Xenopus tropicalis: one gene and its partners. The protein of the gene in region 2 interacts with the protein of the main gene of each other region in a biochemical or structural test. Links are inferred from orthologs where the notes say so. Each region holds a gene or a part of one and is shown on either strand. Other genes may lie near its edges.

Region 1 (4,352 bases), on a different chromosome or scaffold from region 2:
GTCATATCACTTAATAAGTTAACATGCAGAATACAAATTAAAGTACAGGTATGTAAATTTGGGACAGTATTTGACTATTCAAAAATGAGACTGCATCCTTCTGAATACTGAATGGAAACAGGAGCATGTTGTAGTACTCCAACCAGTACCAAGCAAATATTTAAACAATAATAACATGCTGTGTCACACATGAAACTGTAATGCAGCATAGAAACACCTGTAAAATATATCAGTGTTTTATGCACATACTTGATCCAGATGATATATCTAAATTATCCATGATTTGTTCTACTCGCCAACAAACCTTTGCATTAATTCACGTTTCCTAAAAACCACCAACACTACGTCAATCACATTGTCATGCACATTGGCACACATAACATGATGTAATAACGACAAACTGCACTGTATGTTTATATTAGTAATAACTTGCACAAAGACTTCTGTAATGAATGCAAGGACCGGAACAAAGGGTTTTAAATAGTGAGATTGCTGAAATACTGTAAAAATGGCATACGATTTAGGAAGGAAATCTTGCAAAAATTCAGCAACCATCCTAAAAAACACTGCATATTTATGACACATCATTGACTATCATTTGTTCTGGCGTATCAGCTCCTAAAAGTGAAATCACACATGCTAGTGTCTCTTGCCAAATATCAGCATGTAATGTGTGTTTTTTACAACAAGTATATTACTGTGTTTTCTATAGTAATGCTTATTTCATTTTTTTATGCCATGTAGGGACTTTCTAAAACCATGGCATAAAAATGCGGTGTAAAAATGGCACGTGACATAGGTGACCAGCACTATGGAACCGATGCTTAGAGGTATTTGTCAATACTATCAAGCTAGTATATATTTTCATATACAGGTTCCAACACAAACATGTTATGTTCAAAGAATTGTTTTATCCAGAAAAAGTTGCAAACAAGATTGCCTGCTACAAGACACGCAGTTTACAGAACGCACCCTAGGGGGTCCAATTATCATTCCTGTCCACCTAGTGAGTGTCATATCTTCATCATCTTCAAGGCCCCAGCTGACAGTGCCATCTCCCACACCTTTCTGCCCTTCTTCAAGTTCTTCCAGTAATCGGAAGTTACGAGGCATCTTAACACCTGTTAGGACGCAATAATATGTATTGAAAAGTGGTAAAGCATAAAGACACTGCTTCTCAAAATATTTTAAAATTTTACATATTTGTATTTCAAATACAGATTTCACATTTAAATTTAGGAACTTCCAACCAATAAATGCAAATATATTGATAGGTTCAACAACAACTGTTCTGCTTGTAATCCACAGGTCCACCCCCCAGCTTGGCATGAGCCAGTTCCTGAGATGCCCATGGATGATCACCAGACAGTCACTCAAGAGGCCTACCCAACTCAGACCAACCTCCTGCAGAGGCCCTGAATACATAGGTGTCTACTGCACCACTTCTCTCTTGACCAAGTATCTACAGAAGAAACACAACTTCCATAGCAAATTATGAGAATAAGTGGTACAATAATCTTATGATTAATTTCTAAACTTAAATCTATCAAAGTAGGGGAAGTGACAGCTACTCCTTGAAAACAAGATGATTAGAGTACTATATAACAAAACAGAAAGTGAAAGGTGCAACAGAGCTGGAAAATGTATGACTATCAGGCCAGGAAATGTGTCAGCCAACTGTAGCAGAGTGAGTGAGACAGACAGGTTTCAGGGCCAAATTTAATGGAAAAGGAAGGCTTGGGATTTTTTCATTAGCAAACAACATGCAGAGCATAGAAAAAATTAAAACACTATAGGCAGAAGGTAGATCAGGTTTGTAAGATGGCTGGATAGTGGATTTCTGATGGGCATGTGATACTAGGCTGGGAAGAACACTTCAGTAACAGAGAATCAAGGTGTGTAAGATGCTTCAGGGCACACTACACCCAGAAAATGCAAATACATATATATATATTCAGCAGCAGCAGAACACAACTTATTAGTTCCAGAAAGCTGAACAAAAGTGGGATAGTAGAGAGATGCAGAACAAAATATATGTAGGCTGCATGGCAACAGGAGGACTGGATCCTGTAGAGCAAAGATGTTTAGGGCCATTGCAAAATATGTGCAGGAAGGGGTGCAGCAAACGAAGGAAGGGCAACTGGATGGTGCAGGGGACAGAACAAAGCTGGACATGGCAGTGTTTTATGGTTGGACAGCACAAGCCATGCCACATTCAGAGTTGGTTACTAAGCAGATCATGCTATCTGTAAGGGGCAGCCATGCAGGCCATACCACTTGCTGACATATGGGGGGGGGGGGAATATGCAAAAGGCCACATCATCAGCAGGGTGGGCACTGCATGTGGCCCAATATGGGGGCAGGGTGGGCAGTTAGATGGAGCAGCTAGATGGAGCAGCTAGATAGACTGCAGAAGCACACAGGAAGGCAGAAAGGACACATTGCTAGAGACATGTGAAATCATTTCGGCTCTGCTATAGATCAAAAAAGTAGGGAAAGTAAAAGTGACACATTGAATGGAACAAATTGTAAGGGATAAGTAGATCCTACAGAGAAGGGGTCAGATACCCAGAAGGGATGCTGGGAGCAACAGTCCATGTAAAGGGTTAAGACCCCTGACTGCCAAATTCCTATTCACTCAACCGGGGGGAAACTGAAGGATGGGCAGGCAATGAGAACCCCCGAAAAGCAAGAGTTTTCTTTTGTCATCTTATCCCTGAAACCATACGGCGAGAGTGCGCCTCACACACAACTTCAATCCCTGCCCCTCCAAACCCCAACATCGGCTTTTATGCTCCCCGGCCCAGCATACACAGACCTGCGCACACCGCCATCTTCTCCGCCGCCCAGGACCGGAGCCCACGCACCATGAGACGTCAGCGCGTAGAGAGGCAGAACGGGCGCCAGCCGCAAACCCACACGTCACTTCCGCTGCTAATCTTGCCTCCCATTCATTCGGATCAAGTGGGAAACGCTGATTGGCTGCCGGGTTCGCGCTTTTACACATTTAATAAGTAGAAGGGAAAGGGAGCATGTGGAGGGGAATTAGCTCAAATGGTAGAGCGCTCGCTTAGCATGCGAGAGGTAGCGGGATCGATGCCCGCATTCTCCAAACTATTGTTTATGTTTTTACACGATTTGTAACATTGGCATCAAGCAACATTTTTCCTGTGGCAGCACTATGCCTTTAGCAATTGAAGGTGTTTGGAAACTGGTTTGGCTATACTGCTAAATATTGTTAAATATTCACATTAACTTTTAGTTCCTTATAAAATATCCTATTCCTAGCAACTGTTTCAGTTGGTCTTCATTATTTATTTTTCATAGGTTTTTAATTATTTGCATTCCTATTTTTTCAGTTTTCAAATGGGGGCCACTGACCTCGGAAGCCAGACATATTTTAGTCTCTGGGGCCACAATCTTATTGTTTTTGTTTTTATTACTTATCTTGCTGTTTAGACCCTCTCCTGTTTGTCTTTTAGTCTCTCATTCAAGCCACTGGCTGGTTCCTGGGGTAAATATCACTGCTGCTGAAATCCCAAACTGGACACCACATGGAAATTGTTTCAGAACATCAATGTTTACATTATACTAAAAGTTCATTTAAAGGCCAACTAGCCCTTTATGTTCTGCACCCATGCCCCAACCCTGGGTAAGAGATTCTGTTTTCCACACATATATCAAAAATGAAGCCTCAGTGAACCTCTATTTTTTGTGGGTTTGTTGCACTCACTGTTACTCCTATCCTGAAAAAGTTGTATTAAAAGAAGTTCTGTTGAGCTTGTTTACAAGCAGTGACTTGGAAGTAAAAGTATGATTAAAGAGATACTGACACCATCTAACACTTGCCAGCCTCTGATAACCCACAGCAGACCACTTTAACAAATATAAACATAAATACTGACTCCTCCATGCAAGAATCGACAACACAATTTGTTTTTTTTTTTGGGTGGGAGGGTCAGATGCGGACCATACCCCCTCACCAGCACAGAACAGAAAGACCAGCCTGCACTGCTGGTACACTTTTTAACCCCTCAGGTGTCATGCCTCCCATGCTCCACCAATGGCTGGCCCGCATCGCTACCTTCAGGCCCGGATTTGTGGAAAGGCCACAAAGGCCCGGGTCTAGGGCAGCAGAAGTTTAGGGGCGGCAACAAAATTTTTACATTTGGCTTCCATACGGAGCAGTCGGGACCTCTTTAAAGGTTTGCGCATGCCCACTCGCACCTGCGCACGGGGGTGTGTCGCGCGTTCGCGCATGCGCACAGGGGGCGGGCGGGGCGACCAACGGGGGTGGCCTCAGGGCGCCCTGAAGATAAATCCGGCCCTGGCTACCTTGGAGCCCACCAACC
Region 2 (3,175 bases):
CCTGCACTGGGGGGGGGGGGGGACCCTCAGCCTGTGAATAGAAACCCCCCCCAGCCAGTTTGGATTCCCGGCAGCTCTGAGCCGACAGGAGAAATCTCAGCAAATAAACCCCATTCTGTAATGAACTTCACCTTGGAACAGAGCAGGGCGGGGCCTCAGCGCTACACCGGGGGGGGGGGGGGGGGCGGGGCAATTAAACAGAACCACAGGCCGCCACTTCCTTAAAACCCACAGAAGAACTTAAAGGGGAAGTAATAAAAATGCTCCACGTGCCCCAATAGCCCCTTTACCTTCAAGTTACACAACATCCTATTCTTCTCCCCCCCCCCCCCCCCCCCCCCTCCAGTCTCATTCACACCTCTGCCTGGTTGCTAGGGAAAACAAACCTAGCAACCAGTCAGCTGCTGGGGGGGGAAAAAAAACTAAATAACTCAACAAAGCAAAACTAAGGAAGCCCAACTGCATCCTGCAGCCTAACTGTTCATATAAAGGTGAATTACCCCTTTAGACTTTTTTTTTACCCCAAACCCGGCCCTAACTGCCCTTCAGGCTGCCCCATAAGAAAAGACAAGAGGCTGAATAAAGTTATTTCCAAAAATCTTTTCAGTAACAAAATAGAACCTTATCTGCCCCCCCCTATACACCAACAGGCGTTATGGTACCTGCACCCCCCCCCCCCCCCATACACCAACAGGCGTTATGGTACCTGCACCCCCCCCCCCCCCATACACCAACAGGCGTTATGGTACCTGCCCCCCTGCCAGGATACTGCCCTTTTTGACCCCCCTACAGAGGGAGAGGTGACAATAGGGGGCGCACAGCATCCAAAGTGCCTTTAATAACTGCTCAGCCCCCGACCCAATAGAACCAACAGAACCACCCCAAACACAAAGAAAAACCCAGTCCCCGGTGCGGCAGAATCCTCGTTGCTGCAGTGTCACATGATGCAAAGGAAATAAATACACGAAGGAAAGTAGATCTGTACATGTAGAGTGTATGTGTCACGCGTGTAACGGTCCGGTACCGGCCCAGCTCCAGGCCACGCCTGTGATTGGCTGCTCCACGGCCGGGGGGGGGGAGCGCATTCATGATATTCAAAAGTGGCCTTCCTCATCGTCATCATCGTCAGACTCAAAGTCCGAGGAGTCCAGATCGTCGGTTCCGCAGTCGAACAGAGACTCCTGGTAGAACTCCTCCTCCTCCTCTTCCTCTTCCTCATCGTTCACCAACCAAAAGAGCTCGTCGCTGTCGGAGCTGCTGCTGGAGAAGTGGAACGAACTGCTGTCACTGCCCACGAGAATTGGGCTTGGTTCCTCCACTTGGACCATCTCTGCAGGGAGACAGAACAGAACCGTCACATCCTGTGGCCCGACCCCCAGGGAGCCCCCGACGTGCAGCCCTCGCTCACTGAGAGAGCATGCTGGGAGTTGTAGTTCAACAAGACCAGGTTACCCATAACGCTGCCCCACTGCGCCCCCTAGTTTTGCTATAGAAGTTCTCGAAAAACATGTGATTCTCTGGGATTCTCATTGGGGGATTTCTTGCATTTTAATGGGGGAAAGTTTTATTGGGCAATATTGCTTTAAGAATACAGCCCTGATGTTGCTGGACTACAGCTCCCAGCATGCCTCACCCTTCATTATATGTTACATTATTCTGGGATTTGTAGTCCGGCAACAGCTGAGTAACGTTTGGTTGGGCCGCGCTGTGCCGCAGGGTTTAGTTCCCCATATATATATATATATATATCCCCCCCAAGGCCCAATCCCATACAGGACTGATTCTTGGCCCATATAATCACCCCACGTGGCTGCACCCCAACATATTTGAGTGTAATGAAGAGCAGAACCAATGAGACCCGGCAGTACCACTCTCTATAGCCGCACAATAAGAATTAGCCCGGGGCAGGAGATTTACTGCAGGCTTTGGGGTGAACATAGCGACCTCTGCTGGCGGCTCTTACAATTACAGGCCTTTCCCCTTGTTCTGGGTTCTACCAATTAGCGACACCCAGAGCTCACCCACCTGCCCAGCACCCGAGCTGCCTCCCTTACACCCCTACACTCACCCTTGGAATAAAACAGTTATTATGCACCTTACTCAGCACTGAACGGGGTCCAGCTATTTTTAGAGTGCAAGCTCTTTAGGACAGGGACTGCTCTACCTGTACAGGTTATTGGTTGTTTTTTTAATGGAATCTGTAGGCTCAATGCAATTATCCATTCATTTATAAATACACGTTATTAATATAGTGAATGAAGTACCCCCTACTGTAAATGATAAGGATATTAGCAGTCACTGAGGGGTTCTGTGCCCCCCATATAAAGGCACAAGGCTGCAGGCTGAGTTATACAGGGAACTCTGAGTATCACTCATGTATTATAAGGGATAATGTACCCCCTACTGTAAATGATAAGGATATTAGCAGTCACTGAGGGGTTCTGTGCCCCCCATATAAAGGCACAAGGCTGCAGGCTGAGTTATACAGGGAACTCTGAGTATCACTCATGTATTATAAGGGATAATGTACCCCCTACTGTAAATGATAAGGATATTAGCAGTCACTGAGGGGTTCTGTGCCCCCCATATAAAGGCACAAGGCTGCAGGCTGAGTTATACAGGGAACTCTGAGTATCACTCATGTATTATAAGGGATAATGTACCCCCTACTGTAAATGATAAGGATATTAGCAGTCACTGAGGGGTTCTGTGCCCCCCATATAAAGGCACAAGGCTGCAGGCTGAGTTATACAGGGAACTCTGAGTATCACTCATGTATTATAAGGGATAATGTACCCCCTACTGTAAATGATAAGGATATTAGCAGTCACTGAGGGGTTCTGTGCCCATATAAAGGCACAAGGCTGCAGGCTGAGTGCTTTTATACAGGTAACTGAACCCAGAGGTGACTGCTAATATCCTTATATTTTACAACAGGGGGTACTGTATTTATTAGTGAGTCATGTGACAGAAATGACATCACTAAGCTCCGATTATAACTGATGACATCACTAAGCAGTGTTTATAAGGATATAATTTCCAGTTTGGTCCCATAGGGAGATAATAAGGATAATAATGAGACGCTTCCCTACGGGGTCACCCACCTCTCACCTTTGCGCTCCAATATCAGGGCGGCCCGCCGGTTCTTCATCTCGGGGCTCAGCTTGGCCACCAT
Region 3 (3,653 bases), on a different chromosome or scaffold from region 2:
TGTTAATTAGCTTATTAGGATTCATTCTGACATGTTGCCCTAACTAGAGTGGGTATTAAATGATTACTCAGGCTCTGCTCTATAATGACTAATAAGATTAAGTAAATTAAGGATAACGGACTGAATACAGGTATTAGAATGAGCAGAATTGTTATTAACCATTCTCAGAAACCTAATAAAAAGCAGTGTTGTGGATGAATAGTAGCTTTTAATATTCTTCCCTTTAGTATATTATATTTATGTTGTGTTTTTGCACTTACCTAAACTAATATATAGCTAATCCAATACCTAGAAATGAATTTTACATAAAATGATGTATAACTGGGACTATACCTCCCATTTTTGTTATGGTTGCCATATCCATTTTTCTGCATTCTGTCTCCATAAGTGTGAATAAGCATCATCCAATGACTTCCTGAAAGCATTATACAATTCCATGTGCCAGTACCATGTGGCACTTCATCTCTCTGCATATTATACTTATTATAATGCTTGCCCTCCCTTTGTGTACTTTTTATTATCTTTCTGGCTGTTTATATTCTCTGCAGTCCTGGTTTTGACAATGTAGTAGTATCAGCCAGGTGATAAAGGAGATCTGGATTATAAAGGAGAATATGGGGGTACCCCATATTAAAGAAGTTAAGTGCAGGCACTTTGGGACTTAATAAATGATAAAGCCATAATGCAGTAATTTAGGGTAATGTAATTCAATTTGCCAAATTTTACACAGGTCAAGTAACCCTGAGGTTTGCTTTTGAACAAGAGAACAGTAGAAGATACAGGCTTATAGGCTTTAAGAGGTTGCTACCTGGGAACACTTTCCAGCCTTTATTACAAACCTATTTTAATCAGAACATAGACAGGGTATTCTAAGGAACATTTAGTGGCAGGTACAACTTCTCTTTAAACATTTTCACCCAAAAGGATACCCTCATTTATATATCGGTTGCATCAATTTAAATAATTATGATAAGAAATCAAATTAGTTGTGCAAACTGCCAGCCCCAGAAAACTTGTTTTTCTAATCGGAATACTGCACAGGAAACCAAATATTGCAGTGTTCTCTTAATATTAACTAAATATGCTTGAATTATGGTTGAAGATGGTTAACAACAGCTTTAAGCATAGATGATGAACTGCTTCCAGCTAGAGAAATAAAATACTTTTATAAATTGTATTCTAATAAATGCTTCATGCAAGGAGATATTAAAAGCATAACTCCTGAAGTAACCCCACCACCTGGTAAGTCCGCAAGGTCACAAAAAACACAAGGCAATAATATTCTGACAAGGCAATAATAATCTGACAGCACTAGATTGGTAGGTGCTTATAGGCTGCCCAAGGTAATTGCTGTTAATTGCATCTTACTTTACACACAGGCCATGAGCAGAGAATAAATATCCCAGATAATAATAGGAAACAATATTGTTCTATAGCTCTCAAGGCATATTAATGCAATTTTTCACAAGAGAGGTCCTTACCAGGGTTGCAGTCTGTGAGCAGAGAGCAGATAGACAGGAGGACTTTGGAAATTGTGAGTGCTGGGCTCCAGTTATCTTTCAGGATGTCGAGACAGATCACCCCCTGACTGTTTATGTTACAGTGGTAAATTCTTGTCCGAAATGTCACCTAAGGAAAATAAAATGCCTTGATGATTCCAGGATAATATAAAAAAAAGCTGCAATGCTGCAACTGGATCAACACAAATGAAACACAAACAGCTTAACTCAAGTGGAACTAGAATTCAATGCACTTTATAAAAAAGGAAATTGTATGGTTATTAATAAACACAAAAGGTCATAGACTTTAAAAAGAAAAAAAAAAAAGTAAGATCCAATAGTTCCTTTCTTTAAGTGCCTGCAGCACAATAGCTATTTCAAACGCGTTAAAACTGCTTCTTAAAGGCATATGAACAGCAAGACAGCCTGATACATACAGGCCCACGTCATGAGCTGTGCTGGCACAAAAGTTCCCTAACACTTTACTTTAAACACCTGCAACAATTTTTTTTCTCCAATAGCCAAGTGGGGAACCTTAAAACCAGCAGTTCCATATTTCCCTAAAGGGCCGCTACAAGGGGGTGGCCCCCTGAGATGTAAATGTGTGATTTGCATGTTGCGATGGCACAATGGGGCATGGCCATACATACATGGGCCTTTTTTTCATTATTGGTACTACATTCTACTTGCTGGCAAGGCCCTCTGCCCACATGACCAATAGGTTAATATTTGGGGCTCCCTGGGCAAGAGTCCTGATGAGGATTTCTGAGGATGGTACAGTTTCTCTATGTATTAAAACTTTACTGTCAGGACGTTTTAAATGAACTAATATTTTTAGAAAAGCTTGAGCCAATTCATTGGAATGTGTCCAACCTCTTTTAGCAGTCGAACACCATTCTCTTCAATGGGGTATAATTCTCCGGCACAAAATTCTTCAAGCGCTGCTTTCAATAGCAATTACACTTACAAATAACTTTTAAAGTACTGAAATTTTTTAAAATAAATTCATATCGGAAAGCTGCTTGGAATTATGTTTTCTTTTATTAGGCAAAACTTTTTGGGTTGAAATGTCCTTTAAAAGTACTGTATTAATGAGCTAAAGAAACAGGCCTTCTGCTTAACAGAATTCTTGCCTATTCATTTAATTAAGAAATGTCTATGGTTTACCGATTTCTCTATCACTAAACAAGAAAATGAAACCACTTTTACTTTCCAACTTCAAGCTGTCAACAGAGGAGAAACACATTAAACAAACTACTTGAGGAAAGAAGGGGAAGCCTTATCTTAAAAAAGCTGCTCCTTATCTCAAATGCTAATATAGGCTTTTTCCCATTAGTGCAAAAAAGGAAAATACGGATGACTAAAATTAAAAGAAAACTTAATTAAAATTAAGTTATCATGGTGTCAGCTGGATACAGCCCTCATTTGTATGTTTACTAACATGGTCTGATCCCACATAAAGTTAAGGGCAAGCAAACAGATTCTTCTCAACTCTTGCAACTTCACTAGCCAACAGCAGCTATTGAGCATTTGCTATGACACTGTCTCCCTGGAGCAGCTCTGGGTGGCGAGCATCAACTGTAAAACTGTCCTAATTATTAAATATTTCAAATGTTCGGGCCTGATAAACTATTGTATCTATTAACAAACCATTCTATCAATTATAACCTTAATGATGCTCAGGGATTATTGATACAATAATTGCTAATATTCCACAATTGCTACTGGGAAATGTATCAACTAACGTAGCAAATTCTAACAGTTCCGAGGCAGCTAGATTACTGAGCTGCAACACTAAAACACCTTAGAAAGGAACTTTAAACTTTAATTTTAGAAAACAGTAAAAAAAAAAATAGAAAGCAACTGAAAAAAAGTATTTTTCTGCATAATTAATCGTTACTCCAATTCTACTTGGCCTTTGTAGCCTTAGGCAAGTTACATTCTTCCTGCACCTCAGACACCAACATAAATAAGGCACACTAGGTGATTTTCTCAGTTGCATTTTTCCCTGCAGAAAATCTGTTGTCTGTCAAAACACAAAAGAATTGGCCCCATACTCTACCAGTAGAAAGGGTATGTGTGTTCTTTTCAAACACACACTCACACACACACACACACACACACAAGCATACAAATCCACACACACACAAGCAT

Evidence for each region.
Region 1: the proteins of rnf8 (region 2) and ube2v2 form a complex in vitro, tested with the Homo sapiens proteins (2 studies listed by BioGRID). The link is inferred for Xenopus tropicalis from reciprocal best matches to the Homo sapiens genes RNF8 and UBE2V2.
Region 3: the proteins of rnf8 (region 2) and ube2e2 form a complex in vitro, tested with the Homo sapiens proteins (2 studies listed by BioGRID). The link is inferred for Xenopus tropicalis from reciprocal best matches to the Homo sapiens genes RNF8 and UBE2E2.

What each region holds. Positions count from the first base shown.
Region 1 is NC_030682.2:113,259,974-113,264,325, reverse strand, and holds the start of ube2v2 (ubiquitin-conjugating enzyme E2 variant 2), read right to left. Parts: upstream 2,843-4,352; 5' UTR 2,835-2,842; coding exon 2,819-2,834; intron 2,751-2,818; exon of another isoform or gene 2,569-2,750; intron 1,122-2,568; coding exon 973-1,121; intron 1-972. UniProt on the Homo sapiens protein: Has no ubiquitin ligase activity on its own. The UBE2V2/UBE2N heterodimer catalyzes the synthesis of non-canonical poly-ubiquitin chains that are linked through 'Lys-63'. This type of poly-ubiquitination does not lead to protein degradation by the proteasome.
Region 2 is NC_030681.2:2,808,516-2,811,690, reverse strand, and holds the end of rnf8 (E3 ubiquitin-protein ligase RNF8), read right to left. Parts: coding exon 3,112-3,175; coding exon of another isoform or gene 3,105-3,111; intron 1,334-3,104; coding exon of another isoform or gene 1,331-1,333; coding exon 1,095-1,330; 3' UTR 750-1,094; intron 663-749; 3' UTR 581-662; downstream 1-580. UniProt on the Homo sapiens protein: E3 ubiquitin-protein ligase that plays a key role in DNA damage signaling via 2 distinct roles: by mediating the 'Lys-63'-linked ubiquitination of histones H2A and H2AX and promoting the recruitment of DNA repair proteins at double-strand breaks (DSBs) sites, and by catalyzing 'Lys-48'-linked ubiquitination to remove target proteins from DNA damage sites.
Region 3 is NC_030682.2:46,453,418-46,457,070, reverse strand, and holds part of ube2e2 (ubiquitin-conjugating enzyme E2 E2), read right to left. Parts: intron 1,630-3,653; coding exon 1,482-1,629; intron 1-1,481.